Linked DNA regions of Rattus norvegicus. The protein of the gene in region 1 interacts with the protein of each later gene in a biochemical or structural test. Links are inferred from orthologs where the notes say so. Each region holds a gene or a part of one and is shown on either strand. Other genes may lie near its edges.

Region 1 (6,004 bases):
CCTGGCTGGTCACCATGCAGCTGAGATCGGCCTTGCTCCTCTGCCTCTACCTCTCTCCTGAGGGCTGGGATCAGTGGCTACATTACTGCCTGAAGCTTGAAATGTGTTTTAATAGTGAGAAGCCAAGGACCAGTTTTCTATAATAGTTGATTTGGTTCAGTCATTTGAGACCACATAAACCTGTTGTTGAAAATAACTGATATATCAGTTGTCCTCTGAAACTCCTTTTCTAACTCCTTCCTAAGCTATCACTCCTCTGCTTTTCTCTTTTGAAAAAGTATATTTATCTTGTGTCTGACACACCCGCCACTGAACACGTGTAGAGACCAGAAGAACTTTTGGGAGTTAGTTTTTCTGCTTCCACCTCGTGGGTCTCTAAGACAGAACTCGGGTTCTCGGGCTTGGCTGCAGGTACCCTTTACTGGCTGAGTCATTTCACCAACAGGCCTGCTCTGCTGTCTTATTACTCTGATGGTCAATGGATGGACTTCAAACTGTTGTTGAGCCGTTTAAAATGAGGGGAATTTTTAAAAAGATGTAAATCCGTGTATGCATTATAAAAGGAAAGACTTGAAGATTTCATTCAGACCCTATAAGGTGGTCTAAAAGATGGTGGTTTCAAACATTTTTTCTTCTGTGAGATCTTGTTTATTGTACTTCAAAACAGCAAGACCTAATGTCAATTTGAACCCAGGCTGGTTCTTCCAACTGTCTCGTCATCTATGAAATGAAAACTGAGAATTAAAACAACGCTGTACTCAGAAAGAGTTCAATGATAAGGCACAATGTGCCATAGCGCTGCACAGTGCCACTATAATAAGCATCTCCATCCTCACGATGGAAGGACAATTCATAGATACTGCTTTTATAGCATTCCGCAATTTTCACGTCTCTATTCTGGGTCGAGTACCAAGGCGAGGTGAGGGGTGGGGGGGGAATCTCTGTCTTCCAGAAGCTAATTATCCAGTTGAAGCTATGAAAGATCCCAAGCAGGACGACTAAATCCACAAATAAAAGCTCGTGGGTTTGAGTAGACACACGATCAATAAATACTACACGTATCCGTTCTCATGGCATGGAAAGGCAGATGGAAAAAAGCAGTCTCTCCTCCCACCAGACAAACCCTGAGCAGTCGTTTTTTTGTGAGAGGAATCTATCTTTTGTGCAATCTGTTTAGTATACAGTGCATGCTCAGGGCACTCCTTATCTTCGTGCTGGGAACAAAGTACACACACCCCTTTTCTAAAACACAGGGCCTAGGATCTCCTAGAACTGGATGGGCTCCCCGCCTGCCGGACCACACAAAGGGGGCGCTTTGCCTGCTCGCAGGCCCCCACACCCAGACACTTTCTCGGGTCGCGGGTTCGCTTTCAGGGTCCCTCAGCCCCGCCTCTGCGAGTGCCCTCCCCAGCCTCTGGCGCGCACCCCTCCTCATCCGCGGGCAGATGGAAAACCCGGAGCGAACCGGCCTGGGCCGCTGGCGCATGCTCAGTTGCGAGCAGGTTCAGTTTGCTAGTAGGAAGCTCCAGCGCTACACCGGCGGCGGCGGCAGCGGCAGCAGCAGCGACGACGGCCGAGCGGCCGGATTCCCCGGCAGCGACCTCGGGCCCTTCTCCTTCCTCACCCGATCCCGGTCCCGGCCCGCCCCGCTCTGGGCCTCTCGCTTGAGTTCCCCGCCCGCGAGCGGGCGCCACCGGCCCGAGCGTCCCTCCACGCGCCGTCTCTCGGAGGGCCAGGCCGTGCGGGGGAGCTCAGCCCCGGCGGAGGGCGGCCCGGGGCGGAGCGGGGGGCCTGCCCCGGGGCGGTGGTGCGGGATGCCGCCGCCGCCACCGCCGGGCTGCGTTGCCTCTCGACGAGCGGCGCGCGTGTCCGGTGGGTGCCCGGCCGCGGGCCTCGCCCCCCAGACTCCTCGCCAGCGCTAGCCGGGCCGCGCGGCGCCCCGAGGGGGCCGGGCTGTGCGCGGGCTGCGGCCCTTCTCCGCGCCGCGAGCCGCCGCCCCTCCGTCCGTCCCGAGGCGCCCCGCAGGCACCATGCAGGCGCAGCAGCTGCCCTACGAGTTTTTCAGCGAGGAGAACGCGCCCAAGTGGCGGGGGCTGCTGGTGCCTGCGCTGAAAAAGGTAGGGGCGCGGAACCCGCTTCCCGGCCCCAGTCCGCTCGGGGCCGGGTGAGGGCGGGGAGGCGGGGCGCCACCGCGGTCTTTCTTCCCGGTCTCGGGTCTCGGGGAGGTCTGCTCAGGCTGTGAGGTTCCCCGCGTCCGCTGCTCCAGCTGTTGACACTCGCCCGGGGTGCGTGGGAAGGCCGCACACAGTCGGGGAGGGTTGGTCTGGATCATCCAAGCACCGAGGCGAGGGTTGGAGGAGCCTCGGTTTTCCGTGGAGGTCAAAGAAGGCCATTGCCTACCTTCTCGATCTTACCGAGCTGCGGTCAGTCTCTCGTTTTAGGAGTCCAGGGCTCTCACTGGCTCGAAAGTGCCCTGGCCACAGTGCTTGCCTAAGTAATTGCGAGGTTGCCTGCCAGTAAGAACATGGCCTGCTTGGTTTTGCTCGTCCTCAGTCATAACTCCCCGTTCTCTTGACACCCTCCCCCCTCCCATTACAGGAGTGATGCACATGCCACTGTATTCAGATTGGTTCTTTTGAAGTAGCTGAGAATCTTCGAACCTCGTTTGGTTTGGTGTTTTGCATCTTTAGTCTTTGTGTCTTTGAGTTTGCCAGAGGTTGAAGTAAATTATTTGGAAATTATTTGCTACATTTTAAAAGCTTCTAAAGCAACTGTCTGGTTTGGCATTTTGAATTTATGTTTGCCAGTAGTTATCCGTGGCTGTTGATACATTTCGAAAGCTTCTAAAGCAACGCTTGTACCAAGACATCTGAAACAGGTGTGTTTGAATGGATTTTTAAAACCAGATTGGTTTTTGTTTTTATTTGCCTTACCTGTAGAGATTGTTTTACTCTTCCAGGAGTTTTAATCTCGATTTCTTGTTGCTCAGATGATTTTCATGCTCTCTTTGCTAAAATACAGTTTTGTTACTACTGAGTATTGAGTACAGAGTTTGCTGTACCATGCAGAGCTTTTCTATAACCAGAAAGTGTTTTCATACTCCACAGAGGCCAGCACCTTTTAGTTTCTCCTTTGCACTGTTCTCCCCTTCCCCTCTTGGTATCTTATGCTGGAAAACTGTTTGCTTTTTTGGGAGACTTTGCTTTTATTTTTCAGACTTGGGTTACTGGTTTTTATCCTCAAATGTCTTACAAATCTCTAGGTTTTCTAAGGAAATCAAAGAGGTCACCTCGTTGTGCATACTTTGTTCATTAGAGATCCCATGAGGCTTCAGTCCATTTTTACCTTGGCTTTACCTGCACACTTGCCTGCTTAGTTTGTAGAATTGGAGAAGTATGCCTCATGACGCTAGAAGTTTGGTATCTTGACAGGACAAGATGAGACAGAAAAATTGATTTATATGTACAAAAGCTCTCACAGAACATTACCAGTTTGAGGTATTCGGCTTAAAAGCAGGTAGCTCCTATTCTAAGGAGACCTCCACAATATCACTTGAGGATCCTTTGGAGTGGTAGGAAGAGCATTGTAGAAGTTGGCAGACTACTGTAACCTGCCTCATGGGTGGCCCTCGCAGAAACCTATTTTGTGTGGCTGGCATTCTGGGTCTTTTTGTTCGTTGTTTTGTTTTTCATTTTATGTAATCAGTTGCCAGTATCTTAAGATGAGAAATGTCGGGGTTGGGGATTTAGCTCAGTGGTAGGGCGCTTGCCTAGCAAGCACAAGGCCCTGGGTTCGGTCCCCAGCTCTGAAAAAAAAAAAAAAAAGATGAGAAATGTCACATACAATCTGAGTTCTTATTTTTTTCTTGAATTAGAGATGGACTTGCCATACATTTTCACCATCAGAAAACTGCTGGAGTTGTGAGTGACTGCCTTCTGTGGAAAGGGTTTTGTCCCCAGTTCACCATAGTGTGGCTTGTGTTCTATAGCTTCGCGGTTGGCTGGCTTTCCGCTTGAAGCAGAGCCGTCCCTGCAGAAGTGAGATGAAGAGGGAGTTTACAGGGTCCCTAATGCATGAGGTTCTCCTCATTCACATTCCCACCTGCAATGCTCTTAGGACACCCAAGACAAGGCTGGATATATTTCTCATATTCAGAATATGCTCTTGTAGCTTAAAACTTGAATATTGTATGTGTGTTGGACTTTTCATGAAGATGCGTCCTTGGACATTTTGTGTGGGTGTGTCCTTATCCTGAAATCTTCAGACTTTAAACTGCTTGTATAATGCCCACCAGTGTGTTTTCTTAGCTGAAGCTTTTTGGACAGTCTGCTCATTTGATCTGGCCTACTACTACTCAGCCTCAGAGATTCTTCTCAGGCGCTCAGGGTTGCGTTGGATAGTGCTCCATTGTTTCTTCCTAGTGTCCTATCCTAATTTACTTGTCCATATTCATGTTAGCTACCCTATGGGACTTCTACACCGGTGCTGTACCTGACACCTGTTAGGACTCATTTTGAACAAGTGTCTTTGTCTGTTACTTTGAGTTTGCCAGAGGTTAAAAGTAAATTATTTAGAAATGTTGCTACATTTTTTTAAAGCTTCTAAAGCAACATTGTAACTTAGTAAATCTTCAACTCTTTCCTCCTCCTTTTGGTTTGGGATTTTGAATTTCTAGCCATTATATGTTACTTTTAGTTTGCCAGTGGATAAAGTTATTTGGAAATGTTGCCAAGTGTGTAAGGGGATACTCATAATAAAACTGACCCCCACCACCAGTTTCTAACTTCTTGGTTAATGGCTTTAAACTTGTATTTGACTGGTTCAAAACTGAAGCCTAGGACTCCTGTCTGTGTACTGCTGCCTGCCTTCAAGCAAAACCTTACACTTATCAACCTCTAACATGCTCTTGTACTCTACTCTTCTAACTGCTTAGAGTTTCCTCTCCAAGGTTACTGTGGTAGCCTCTCAGTTGAGTTCCTTACCCCCAGTCCACTTGCCTTTACATATTTCAGAAGTTATATAGTACTTTTGAACGTGTTATACATTTGTTCAAAATTGTTGATGGCCTTTAAGTTAAAGCTGGGTGTTTTAGCATGGAATTTTTAAGACGGCTTTACCCTGACCTTCCTATTTGATTTCGTATCAAAATCTTTCTAGAGAGGTCTACTACTTTTCCTGAATGTATTTATTAGGCCCACAGTGTCTTCCCTCTACATTTATCACATCCCACAAATACTTGATGCTTGTCTCAGAACAAGTATTGCCCTTGGTACTAAGGATAAATGACATATTAAAAAGACCAAGTGGATGTGGTAGTGGGTATGTCTGAAGAGAGGACTTGTTCTTAAGCCAGGGCTTTTGTTTTTAGACAGTCTCATTCTACAGCCCAGACTAGTCTTGAACTTGCAGCTTAGCTGTCTTGGCTTAACTACCCTGGTCAATGAGGTGTTCTAAATAGGAAAGTAACACTTGGTTTGAAGTTTAGAAAACTCACTTAGGTCAAGAAAGGGGAAGAATGAGGCCTAAGATAAGGGAGAGAAGCAGGAAAACTCCATATGAGAGGAGGTGAGGGAGAGAGAGAAGCAGGAGACTCCGTCTGAGAGGAGGTACACATTTGGGTTAGGATGGGTGCTCTGGGAGCAGTGTTGAAAAGGCAGAACTCTCAGACCTAGCACTTCATTGTGGGACTGGAGGATATTAAGGAAGTCAGGCTTGCTTGCAGCTAGTCATCGAACTTTGGGATGGAGAGACAGGTGACGTAATGAAATGGTTTGGAACATGTTGATTTTAAAGGCCTTTTGGATTGTCTAGGCCTATTTCTCCAGTTGGCAGTCCAGTTTTGAGACCTGATGCAGCCAATCTAGAGGTCTGAGATAGAATAGATGAAGTGCATCTATAGAAAGACTTCTGTGTGAGTCAGGTTTGATGGTGCAGACCTGTTATTCCACCTACTCAGGAGACTAATACAGGAAACTTAAACATTCAAGGCCAGCTTGGACAATTT
Region 2 (6,011 bases), on another chromosome or scaffold:
TTAGTGACCGCTCGCCTCCTATAGAATAAACTCTAAGGACCTCAGCTCTCCTGACATACTGCTTCAATTCTAGCCACCGTGTCTGCTCCACCAACATACTACAATTACTCAATGTCTCTCTATTAGGTAACTCCCTCCCAAACCCTTCTTTTTGCGCAAATAGTCTTACTACACATTTCCCCTCTCATTGTGGCTTAATGCCCATCTGTCCCTAGATACAATGTTGATGTGTTTAGCATAGAATACGGGTTGGTTTAAATCTCAGTATCTGACACTGGTGTAGACTTGAGATATACAGTGCCTCCTGCAGCACCTACCATACAAAGCAGACTCTTTCCTATAACAGCACAACCATACTAAATCCACAAGTTAAATTTGTTTAGTATGGCCCACTGATTTTTACATTTGAAGATCAAGTCTGGGATAACTTCTTGATAACCATAAGATAAGATAGGTAGGATTTTCTTCCTCCTAATCATTCCTGTATGATAGGGACACTAAACTAGGTCATTCTTTTTTTTTTTTTTTTTTTTTGGTTCTTTTTTTCGGAGCTGGGGACCGAACCCAGGGCCTTGCGCTTCCTAGGCAAGCGCTTTACCACTGAGCTAAATCCCCAACCCCTAAACTAGGTCATTCTAACCATAAGCTGCCAATAGTTCTCTGGGAAAGGTCTTAAGGCATGGAGAGTTCTTATTTCCTTTCTACACTACCCCAAATATCCTCCTTCAGAGTTAATGGGGGTGAGCTGCCTGTATGGTTTTTGGTTTGCTTTTGAGATAGGGTCTCTCTATGTAGCCTTGACTGTCTTGGAATTTGCTATATGAATCAGGCTGGCTTTGAACTTGCAAAACTTGAACCTGTCTATGCAGGTGTAATGTGTAATGGTCTGTATGATTTTTTTTTTTTTTTAGACAGGGTTTCTCTGTGTAGCCAGGGTGTCCTGGAACTCACTCTGTAGACCAGGCTGGCCTCGATCCATCTGCTTCAGCCTTCCAAGTGCTGGGATTAAAGGCATGTACCACCCCCTTGTCTGCAGTATGTATGGTTTTTAATATATGATTTGCATTCCTACTTTTGATACTAACAATAGAACATAGGCAGAGTATCCTCTGCCCAGCTTTACCACCTACTTTTCTTACTCAGGATAAGAAGGCGCTACAGGTAATTTGTATTTTACCTAGGGCAGGCCACCATATCTATTAACATGCAACTAGGTTAAAGGCAGAGAAGTAACTTTTTAGGACTTACCGGTAGGACCTGTATTACAGCGGAAGGAAGGGGTGGAGAGGTGGTTCAGTGACTAAGAGCGCCAGTTTTCCAAGGGACCCCAGTTTCATTCCCAGCACCCACAGGGTAGTTCAAAACCATCTGTAACTTTTTTTCTGCGGATCCTATATCCTCTTTTGGCCTCCAGGGGTAGCAGGCACGCACATGATACACAAGTACACATGTACACCAAACACTCGAACACACAAAAAATAAAAATGAATAAAAGGGGAAAGGAAGATGTATTAATTCCTCGATTATTGACGATGATGTTGTGCTAGGCATGGAGTGAGGGTGGGTGGGTGCTGACACAGTTCCTCTTGTAATAGACTTTGCAATCTAGGTATATGGGTGCAGCTACGCCGGAGGCAAAACCCGTGTTTCAATAAAGTTACCTAACCTAGAGTGCTGCTTTTAGGTGCCACAGCTATACTAAGTAGCAAGGGTGTTCGGAAATAGTGAGGCAGGTTATTGGTGGCTGTAGGGCTAATTGGGAAGGAGAATCGATTTCTTAATGGCTTAGCGGGTGGCTGGGGCTGTGCCACTGCCACGCTCAACCCAAGGGCAAAGGTAACAGTGCTTTTCACAGAACTGGAAGCGGAGAGTGAAGGCTACCCACGCGCCAGGGCACTCGGAAGTTCCTCACACAGCTTATTTTGGTTGTGGTTTTAGTTAACAAACATTTTACATTTTCTCCGAGGCTTGATTTTTCTTTGTCGCTCTCTGTCCCTAAGATCTGTAGGTGGTCGGCCCTTTCAGAAGCAGGAACCAGAGTAGTTTGGGTTGAACTCGGGACCACTGTTCGACATTAATGAGCGATTATAATGACAGGTTTTAGTAGGGCTTGGAGAGGCGGAGAGTAACCAGCTACCGAGGAAGCTGGGGGAGAAAAAGGCAGTGGGGCCCAGCGAACCTCAACTTCTCCTGTCCAAACGCTGCGCAGCCTCAGCTCACTGAACAGTGAGCGCCGCGCTTGAGTGACAAGCCCGTTCGCCCAATCAGGGAGCGGCTCATTCCTCTGACGAATCAGGGGCGGGCGCCGGAGGCGAAGGAGCCTATTAGGTTAGGTGTGGAGCGGGTTTCCTGCCCGCAACGGTCCGCCCACCGGTTGCGCGCGCCCCGCCCCTCTCTGAGAGCTACGCGGCGGCGCAGCACAGGCCTCGTGCGGTAACGGCATCCGGCCAGCCGCGGTGGCGTCCCGGTGCAGTCCTCAGGTGACTGGAGCCGCGGGCTCGGCGGAGGGAAGGTGAGATGGCCTTGCCCGCGTGCGGACACACGCACCGTCCTTTCGGTCTCCTAGTCTGTCCGCGCTGCCTGCTAGTCTCTGGTCGCTTCCTCTTCCCCGGCGAAGTTAGCCCGGGGGCGCCGTCTGCTGGCGGCGGAGCGGAGCGGAGGGGGCGGGGAGGCCGCTCGGCGGAGCTCCGGTGTCCGCGGTGCCGCCCGGTGACCCCGCGCGGCCTCTGGCCTGAGCTACGAGCCCTGCTCGGGGAGCCGAGCAGGCAAGTGTGCGGCGCGCTGTCTCGGCGGTTCTCAGAAAGCCCTGTCGCGGTCTGTGGTGTGTCCGAGGCCGGGACGGTAGGGACGCGGGCTGGCAGGCAGGAAGGGCGCTCTCACCTCCAGCCGCCAACCGGAGGAAGCCGTGAGGGGGGACATCCTCGGGCGCGCCCTCCCCTCCCCCTCCCGTTCCAGAGCAGGAGAGATGGGGTTGTCTGGGGTGGCTGTTGAGGTGGGGTAGGTCCAGGAAAAACAGCCCATTGGGTTGGTTTTCGTACGGGTTTCCGCACTAGTTCGGTTCAGTCTGTTAACAGCTGGGTTGGAAGGAAGCTGGTTTTTTGTTCAGGGTTGAGGACCGTAACATCATCTTAACATTATCGCTTGGTTAATGTCGAGCGGAGCTGAAATCACCCAAAGACAATACTGCCCTTTAGTTAGGTAAGAATCCATAGGAGTTAGGAAAGAACGAGATGAAGAAAACTTCCTGACCCCCATCTTGGGTGGGGAGCAGTGAGATCAGTGTTCAGCCCAAAACGGGTAAAGTTTTGCAAGAAGTGTTCATTTTCAAAAGAGTTACTTTGATAGCTTGATGATCAATCAGCCTTAACGATTTCTTAAGCACCCTGGAAATCAGTTGCAAGCTTTCAGCCTTTAGCGACGTCACCACATGAACAGAGAGTCCAAGAAGACAGTTTGGTTTGATAATTTTCAGTCTTGTTTTTAAGTAGACCTTCTCTCCGCATCGTGATAGTAAGTCAAAGCATATGCATTGGCTGATTAGTACTTTTTTCATCATGCTCACATTGGATGTTTTCTCTGGGAAGAGCTTCTGTAGGAATTGGCTAGAATAACTTAAGCATGCATTGTGTTGATGTCTCAGCTGTATGTATGAACATTAACTTTGAAAAGACTTGCCTCCCTGTCAAGCATTTTTTGTTTTGGTTTTCCAAGCCTTACAGATCCTATGTAAACAAGTTGGCATATCAATGTATTGCTTTTATTAAACACTGAGTGATAGTTTATGCTGCTGACTTTCATAATTTGAGAACTTAGTTTTAGAGTTCAAGGCTTGATGTGATTATTGTTGTAAATAAATTCCTTTTCAGGAAAACTTGGAAAAAAAAAATGAATTCACCTTGGTAGTATTTGGAAGAATGCATGGTTTCAATGCCAGAAAACCAATGATTATTTCACTGTTAAGTAAAATTGAAGGAAACTTAAAATTAGAAATTACTGAACATTTAACAAATCCAACAGTTTGAAGAAAGTTTGACAGGCCCGGATGATTCTCACTTTAATCTGTCTGAGAAATAAAACTTAAAAGTCTTCCCTGGGGCTGCAGAGATGGCTCAGTGGTTAAGAGCACTGACTCCTCTTCCAAAGGTCCTGCGTTCAACTCCCAGCAACCACATGGTGGCTCACAACCATCTGTAATGGGATCCGATGCCCTCTTCTGGTGTGTCTGAAGATAGCAACAGTGTACTTATGTACATAAAATAAATAAATCTTTAAAAAGTCTTCTCTGCAAAACTGATGCATGCGCTGTCTTTCTTTGGTGATACATTCTGTAACATGCTTTCAGTAACCCAGACATAAACCTTTAACAGTGTCCTATTTTTTTGTAGTCGTTTTCTTTAAAAAAAAAAAAACAAAAAACAAAAAAACCTTCCCTTCCTATTCTTATATATTGTTTAAATTTCCGCTTCTGAACTGCTCACTTGCCCTAGCTGGGTTTTCTGCCTGGGTGTTCACAAATGTGTTCTGCCTGTGCTGATCTTAAAATACGACTTTGAACATATTTTTACTGTTTAGACACTAGTAATATCTTTCGTCTAGATTTCAGTCTTTTAAGAGTTTATTTTTATTTTATGCGTTTGAGTGTTTTGCCTACATAGAAGCGCACAGCATGTGGTGTGGGTTCTGGGAACAGAACGGAGATCCTCTGCTAGAGCTCTTAACCACTGAACCATCTGTCCTAGCACAGGAAGAAAGTTGTCTGCAGATTACTAAAGTAGCAAAGTAAAAGTCTCCCTTCCATAATCTCCTTCCTCCCTTCCTCACCCCTCTCTTCTCTTTCCCCTTCCTGACTCTTTCCTTCCCTCAGTTTTGGGGTCAGATCCATGGCTTCTCATAAACCACTGAGTTATATCATCAGTCTAAAGTTCTATTTTTTAAAAAAGATTATTACATTTTTGTTTGTGTGTGTGTGTGTATGTGGGGGGTGGGTGGACAGGCAATGTGCTTATGGCAGAGTCAGAGGACAGCTTGAGGGAGTCAGTTGTCTGTCCACCACATAGGTCCCTTGACTTGAACTCAGGTTTGTAGGCTTGGCAGCAGGTACCTTTACCTGCAGAGGCATCCGACACCCAACCAGAGTTATAGTTTTTACAAATAGTTAAACATTTTAAAAAGTGTGTGTGTGTGTGTGTGTGTGTGTGTGTATGTATGTATGTATGTATGTATGTATGTATGTATGTATGTTGAGGACATGATATGTGTACACAAAGGCAGGTGCCTGAAAAAGGAGGCTAGAAAAAAGTGTCAGATATGGTGGAGTTGGACTTACAGGCACTTACTTATGAGTCTCCTGATATAGTTGCTGGAATCAACCTTAGATCTTTTGCAAGAATAGTACTTGAATTTAACCAGAGCCATCTTTCCAGCGCCCAGAAATTTAATTTTGATTTTTGAGGAAAGGTTGTCAAAAATTTGTTACTTATGTTAATCTGTCTTTTTTTTTTTTTTTTTTTTTGCATTTCCCTCTTTTCGAGTTAGCATACAAAGTGATGGGTTTTGTGATGGTGTTTGCATATGTATTTATTGCTGTGCTTTTTCCTTAAACATCCTTTTCCCCAGCTGACATCTTTCTTTCCCTTGCTTTTTAATTTTATATGGATTTATGTCATGATGTCATGGAACATTGTTAAAACACTGGAATCTAGCCCTTTGTTTTTTAGATTGGGAAAGTGAAATGCAAAATAACTTGAGATTTACACATCCTGATGTTGGTGCAGAGCTGAGATGCAAATGTCATCTTATTCAAGTATCGTGTGTTCTTTCTGATACCATATTATTACTGTGTACAATATGTAATATTTGTTTTATATATTCCCCCTAGAGATCCAGCACTTTTTATTTTGAAAATAAAAAAAATGGGCTCTCAAATCATTGCTCTAAATTTTTGCTCAAATTATGTTCTGATGTGATCTTCCATCTATCTGATCCAGCCTTTGGCGTATCTAGGATTTCTG
Region 3 (5,793 bases), on another chromosome or scaffold:
CTGGTCCTCTGGGAGAGAAACAAGTACTCCTATCCTGAGCTAGCTCTCCAGGCTTGGGCAGCTTGATTTTACATGGGGAATAATGTTTCAAATATGAGTGTCTCATCTCCTTCTACATGCTGACACAGAAGAAGGGATGCAATTAGTTAGAAAAAGTCAGTAATCATTACACACTGCAGTGGCTGATGTCTAAGATGTAGAACTCCCAAGACACAGGATCCCGCAATAGGATGCCGGGTGCTACAAGGACTGAGTATGCATTATGAAAGCTGGCTTCTAATAAATGTTACTCTTTCCTAGTATTTTTGTAAGCTCAGTCTTGTATCTTGAAAGTAGTTCCGAGCCCATGTAACAGAGTGGCAAGGGGATGGTCACTGGCAGTCACCTGAATAACATTGCTGAGTTTCTGCAATGGTCCCTTGTATCATCTGGATTTGTACGGCGGCTAATAGCCACAGGTGGCTACTAAGCGCTTGAGTGGTATGCAGTTAGGATGAAGGTATGCTGTGAGGGTAAAATGCACAACAGATCTGCAAGGCTTAGTATTTAAAGAACACACGGTCTCATTTAAATATCTGATTCTTTTAAAGGTTGAAATAATATGTGGAGAAACTGGTTTAAAAGGAACATAAAAATTAATTTCATGTGGTCTCTTTACACTGTCCAAATGTGGCTCCCAGGAAATCTAAAAGCACCTAGGTGCCTAGAACATTTTTCCTGGATTGGCAATGCAAAACTCAGCATCTACTGTGGACTGCCTATACTTGGGAGCTTGTTTAAGATGCCCATACTCAAAATATTCTTAAAAAAAAAAAAAACAACCCAAAAAACAAAAAACAAATGCAGACCATCAGGCCCAAATCCAGAATCAGTATCTGAGCCTCCTCATGACCCTGGGATAATTCTTTAGTATGGCTCAAGTATGGACTACTGGATGAAGCAGGCAATTCCTGACCCAAGGCCCCATTACTGTGAACACCCGTCCTTGCTTGCTTTAGGAAACCGCTTATTGGAAATGCCAAGAAAAGGGTAAGAAGGGTGACAAGGGAAGTAGTAACGGAGACAGCATCAGAAACAGTGGTAGGGAGAAGCTGGGGTGGGGAGGACTCAACTGAGAGAAAGGCAATTCTAGACCTTTGTCTACATAAACGCGGAGGATGAAGCAAAGACCCACAATCCAAACCTAGCCAGTGTCAGGAACTGTCCGTCAAATCTAGTATTACCCGCCCCTCAGCGGCCTCAGCCAAGCTAGGCCAGAGCAGGAGCAGCTCTGAGGTCGGCGTGTGATGCGAAGCACCAATCTCCCCAAGGTTAGACAACTCCTTCAGACGTTTCTCCATCTTTTGCCCAAAGTCCCATTTCACGAGACACATATCGTTCTTCCCTGGCTCACCTGGCTTGGAGCAACCTCAACCGCCAGCGCCTTCGCCGCCGCCACCTTCCCAGTCCTTCTGCAGAGAGCCCGCCTTCGTAGGTCCAAACAGTACTGCCATTGGTCGGACTGCCCGTCACTACCGCAGGATGACCGATCTGGGGGAGGCTGTGACGAGCGCCATAGCAACCGAACCCGGAACTACAATTCCCAGCATGCTCCTCCCTGTAGAGAGGCGAGTCATCCCAGGGACCACCAATACTTGGGAGAAGTTGGGCGTTGCCGAGATGGGTTCCGTTTTATGCAAATTAGAGTAAAAGGCCACACCCTTCCTCATTCCAACCGTACTCCCTACCATCTTTCTTCAGTCTTTGTCTCTGTCGCCTCTCGTTCCCACGTTCTTTCTGCAAAACCTTCAATTTAGTTAAATGTATGCTAGCTACTGTCGCGCATAGAAAAGAGCAAAGCGCCAAATCATGAAACAAAAATCTCCGTACGCATAGACCAGAAACCTCTAGTTATGCCTTCATGGGACGAGACAAGGACTGGGAGGAAAAAGGGTGCTTCCCGAACCACTTAATTGGTTTATCTCGCTGCCACTCTGTACACCTCCAATTCCTGTGGCTAGTCCTTTTTTCCCCAGTGGGCGGAGTCATGCGAACGAATGAGAAGGCGTGGTCTCGGCCGTCCGATTGGCAGGCGGTTATTCCCGCCCATCTATGGGTGGAGCGGAGGGCTGGCTGTGGGCGGAGGGGCGGCGGCGGAGGGAGATGAGGAGATAGGCGGGAGCGAGGGAGCGAAGGAGCGGAGGGCGAGAGGAGTGGAGCGGCACAGGGAGGGCGCGCAGCTTGGTTGCTCCGTAGTACGGAGGCTCGCGAGGGAGCATCCCGAGCGGGCTCCGGGACGGCCGAGAGGCAGGCGGGCGAGCGGGCGGGCGGGGATGGTGTGCGCGGCTGCGGACCCTGCGTTCCTCCGCGCGGCGTGCGGGCTGCACTGATTTGTGTGAGGGGCGGCCGCGCGCACCCGCCCGGAGATGAGGTGAGGAGCTGACGCGGGCGGCCTGGCGCGCGGGCGGGGGTCGGCGATGGCCGCCCGGGGTCGGGTCCAGCGGCCGGGCGCGCGTCCCCGCGGCCGCCGTCGCCGCTCTGCCTGGTCTTTCTCATCCTCCCGGGGGCGGCGGGGCGGGCGGGCCGCGGCGGTGGCGGCCGCGGGACGGGCTCCGGTGAATGGGCGTCCGCAGCCACTGCCGGCGCTCCCGAGGGGGCATCGCGGCGGGCGGTCCCTTCCACCGCTGACCCCTCTGCCCTCGGCCGCCGGAGGGTGGGGGGCCGGCCCGGCCTCCCGGGGATCCCGAGCTCGCGGGAGACGCATCGCGCCGCCCGCGGGTGCCCCCGGCCTCGAGTCCCCGGCTCATCCTTTTTCTCCGGCGCCTCCTTGGAATACCCTGTCAAGTGAAGGGCGGTCAATGCCGTTCGGGCCGAAGTGGTGCGGCCGGGGCTGGCTCTGATGGCATTTAACAGAAAGCGGCTCCCCTTGCAGCGGGCGCGCGTCCCCTGGTCGGCCGCTTCGCCCTCCGTGCGCACGCACTGACTTGGGTGTCTGCTATGGACCCAGGGCACAGTTGCGGTCCCTCTTGGGGGCGGGGGCGGGGGGGGGGGACCAGGAAATGCAATCCGGATTCCCAGAAAAAAGAAAAGAAAAGCAAGGATGAGCTGGCTGGACCTCCCTTCACTTCTGTTTCCCTTTGGTTTGGAGGACAACTTCGCTGATCCTCTTGCCTATGAGCAATCTATTGTTGTGAATCAGACTACAGACATTGCTTTTGAAGGAATAGATTAGTGGCTTCTTGCTGCAGTTTGAGGGTGTAGAGGTATTCGGTAGCATCTTGAATGTGAAAGTTTGCGGCTTTGCCCTCACCGCTGCTATTCGGAAAACAACCAACCTGGAAATGTAAGTGCATGCAGACTCTGGCCAGATACGGTTCTTTTGTGCTTATCTGTTGGTATATTTCATTTGGTACTTCGTGGTCAGAAACATAGAGCATAAAGAAAGAGTCTGATAGCATAGATAGTGAAAGCATAGGAATACATGCCTGTGGAAAATATCAGTTCTATTTTCAGGGAGGCCGGTTTACTAATCCCGATGAATTGATGAAGAGAAAGGCTTGCTCATGGATTATGTGGTGGACAGGATGTGAGGGCAGGAGCTAGGGCCAGGAGCCCACAGGCCAGCTGCTTGGCAGGGCATTTCTTTAAATGCTCTTAACTGGAGGGATGTATCTGTTTGTTGGGATAAAACTTTTATTTTTAGAAGACGTTTACAGTGAAAAGTGCAGACAGTTCAACAACCATTATGGTTACCATTTTTGCTACTTAACTTTTTTTTAAAACTAGTTTGATTGAAATGTTTTGTATGTGTGTGTGAGTTTCCTTATGACCTAAGAACTTATAAGAAAGCAGCATCTCTCTGTAGGAGACATGTAAAGAAGTCAGGAAACTATAAAGGATTTAAATGAAGAAGTGAAGGACACTGATTTGGTGACAGGGCATAGATACTCCATACACTTCTATGTGTAAGGAGCCACAGTAAGGAGCCTTTTTGAGAGTACATGTTTAAAAAAGTGGTATTTATTTTTTAAAAAAGTGTCTGTTATTGAAATTGCTGAGGATCGCGGTACTGCCACAAAACTATTATTATTCTGCCTGAGTAAGAGAGGAACTGAGCACATTTCTAATGTACTTTGGAACCCTGTGAATTGTTCAGATGCTGAGCATTGTGAAATAGGGCATGAAATGAGTGGTGGCAAGTTAGTTCCCTGAAATGTTTGTCCCTCAGCATTTTCTGTCTTTCTTTTGCTGGTGACTAGCTGTTTCCTTTTCCTGTGGGCATTCTTTATCTTTCCCCAAATACCTAGATTGAGACACACCCTTAAAACACTTGGAAGAGATTAAAAGGGAGGCCCTAGTAAATTCCTCTGCCAGTGCCTTTTCTCTTTTGGTGTTTGAACCAGGACTTGGAGAGTGCTAAGTGTGTGGCCCTAGCACCTAGCTACAACCCCAGCCTCACACTGGTCTTTGTGTGTGGTGCTGTCGTTTGAACCTGGAGACTGTGAGGCTAGGCAGATGCTACAGTCTCCTCCTTTTAATTTGCTAAACTTGTGACTACCGGCTGGGTTTATGTCAGACTTCTCTTGAGTGACTCCCTCCTGAATGACTCCACTTGCTGGCTCCATCCGAGTCTGGCATTCAGATATCTTTACATCAGCTTAACAGGTCTCTGCCTCTCCACCTCAGAGTCAGACAGTGGGAAGTATATTTTCAGTACCGTTTCCAGGAAATTCTCCAGGCCGGCAGATTCAGAGAACCTTGGCGGCGTGCTTCTTTCTTACTGAGTGTCTCCAAAGTGGATGATAGCAAGCTTGTCAAGTGGCAGGAGTTTTACATGTTGTGATAAATGTTTCAGAAGAGCAGAGTTGACTGTGGTCTTCCTAGAGACTGAACCAGTGCCCCTTGGATAGTTGCAGAATGAATGGGTGAACCACTTTGCAGCGATCCTGGTGTTTTAAGTCTTCACCTGCCAAGTTAGTCACATCACCAAGTAGTCATAAGCGCTGTGTCCTAGTTGGTTCCTCTAAGCTTGACCAGTCTTGAATGTACAGTCTTGCTGGATGGCATGCTGGAAGGAGGTCTAGCAAATGTTGCTTTAAGGACTCAAAATTTAATGTAGCGTCTAATCATTTCACCTACCCTTTCATAAATGATGGTAGTCCTAACATAAGAATCACTTGTGGGAAATGTGGACAGTAGGTACGCTTTCCAACATGACTTTCATGGTATGTGACCTTCACTCTCCTTTTACAGAGTCTACCACATAAATTACAGATTTTATGTGAGCGAGCGAGCGAGCGAGCGCTAATACGGGACCTCGTCACATACTGTTAATGACTCAGATGCAGTCATCAAACCTCTCAGCACCTCAGTTTCCTTGGCTAAACATGGGAAGAATGGTAGTGGAGTTTGCATACCTCTAAGTAACCCAGCCTTGCCTCTAAATGCTGGGATTTTAGGAGTGTGCCACCGTGACCTACACTTAAACACAGTCAGTTATTAAGCAGTAGTTCACTCCGATGGAAAGAATTGGAGTGTGTAATATATACAGTTTGAAAGCTCACACTCACCTGATTTCTGTACTGCTTTACTTTGTGGTCACAAGTAGAAACTCATTGTTTTTTTTTAATGAAGTCTCTTGATAACTTCTTGGTATTAAATTATGTATACTTTACTTAATAAGCTACAAGAATTATACATATAATTACAAAATAAATCTCACAATCACTTTCATCTTAATTACTTTAGAATAAATCTCAATCAAGTTAGCCTTTGTATTTAAAAAAAAAATCACATAGAAACTGAAATACAGAA

Evidence for each region. The genes of interacting proteins can lie anywhere in the genome.
Region 2: the proteins of Sos1 (region 1) and Nck1 form a complex in vitro, tested with the Homo sapiens proteins (2 studies listed by BioGRID). The link is inferred for Rattus norvegicus from reciprocal best matches to the Homo sapiens genes SOS1 and NCK1.
Region 3: the proteins of Sos1 (region 1) and Itsn1 form a complex in vitro, tested with the Homo sapiens proteins (2 studies listed by BioGRID, with this or other methods). The link is inferred for Rattus norvegicus from reciprocal best matches to the Homo sapiens genes SOS1 and ITSN1.

Annotation. Positions count from the first base shown.
Region 1 is NC_086024.1:20,284,100-20,290,103, forward strand, and holds the start of Sos1 (son of sevenless homolog 1), read left to right. Parts: upstream 1-2,017; 5' UTR 2,018-2,030; coding exon 2,031-2,117; intron 2,118-6,004.
Region 2 is NC_086026.1:109,954,632-109,960,642, reverse strand, and holds the start of Nck1 (cytoplasmic protein NCK1), read left to right. Parts: upstream 1-2,395; 5' UTR 2,396-2,512; intron 2,513-2,555; exon of another isoform or gene 2,556-3,510; intron 3,511-6,011. UniProt on the Homo sapiens protein: Adapter protein which associates with tyrosine-phosphorylated growth factor receptors, such as KDR and PDGFRB, or their cellular substrates. Maintains low levels of EIF2S1 phosphorylation by promoting its dephosphorylation by PP1.
Region 3 is NC_086029.1:44,462,370-44,468,162, forward strand, and holds the start of Itsn1 (intersectin-1), read left to right. Parts: upstream 1-2,177; 5' UTR 2,178-2,410; intron 2,411-3,064; exon of another isoform or gene 3,065-3,322; intron 3,323-5,793. UniProt on the Homo sapiens protein: Adapter protein that provides a link between the endocytic membrane traffic and the actin assembly machinery. Acts as a guanine nucleotide exchange factor (GEF) for CDC42, and thereby stimulates actin nucleation mediated by WASL and the ARP2/3 complex.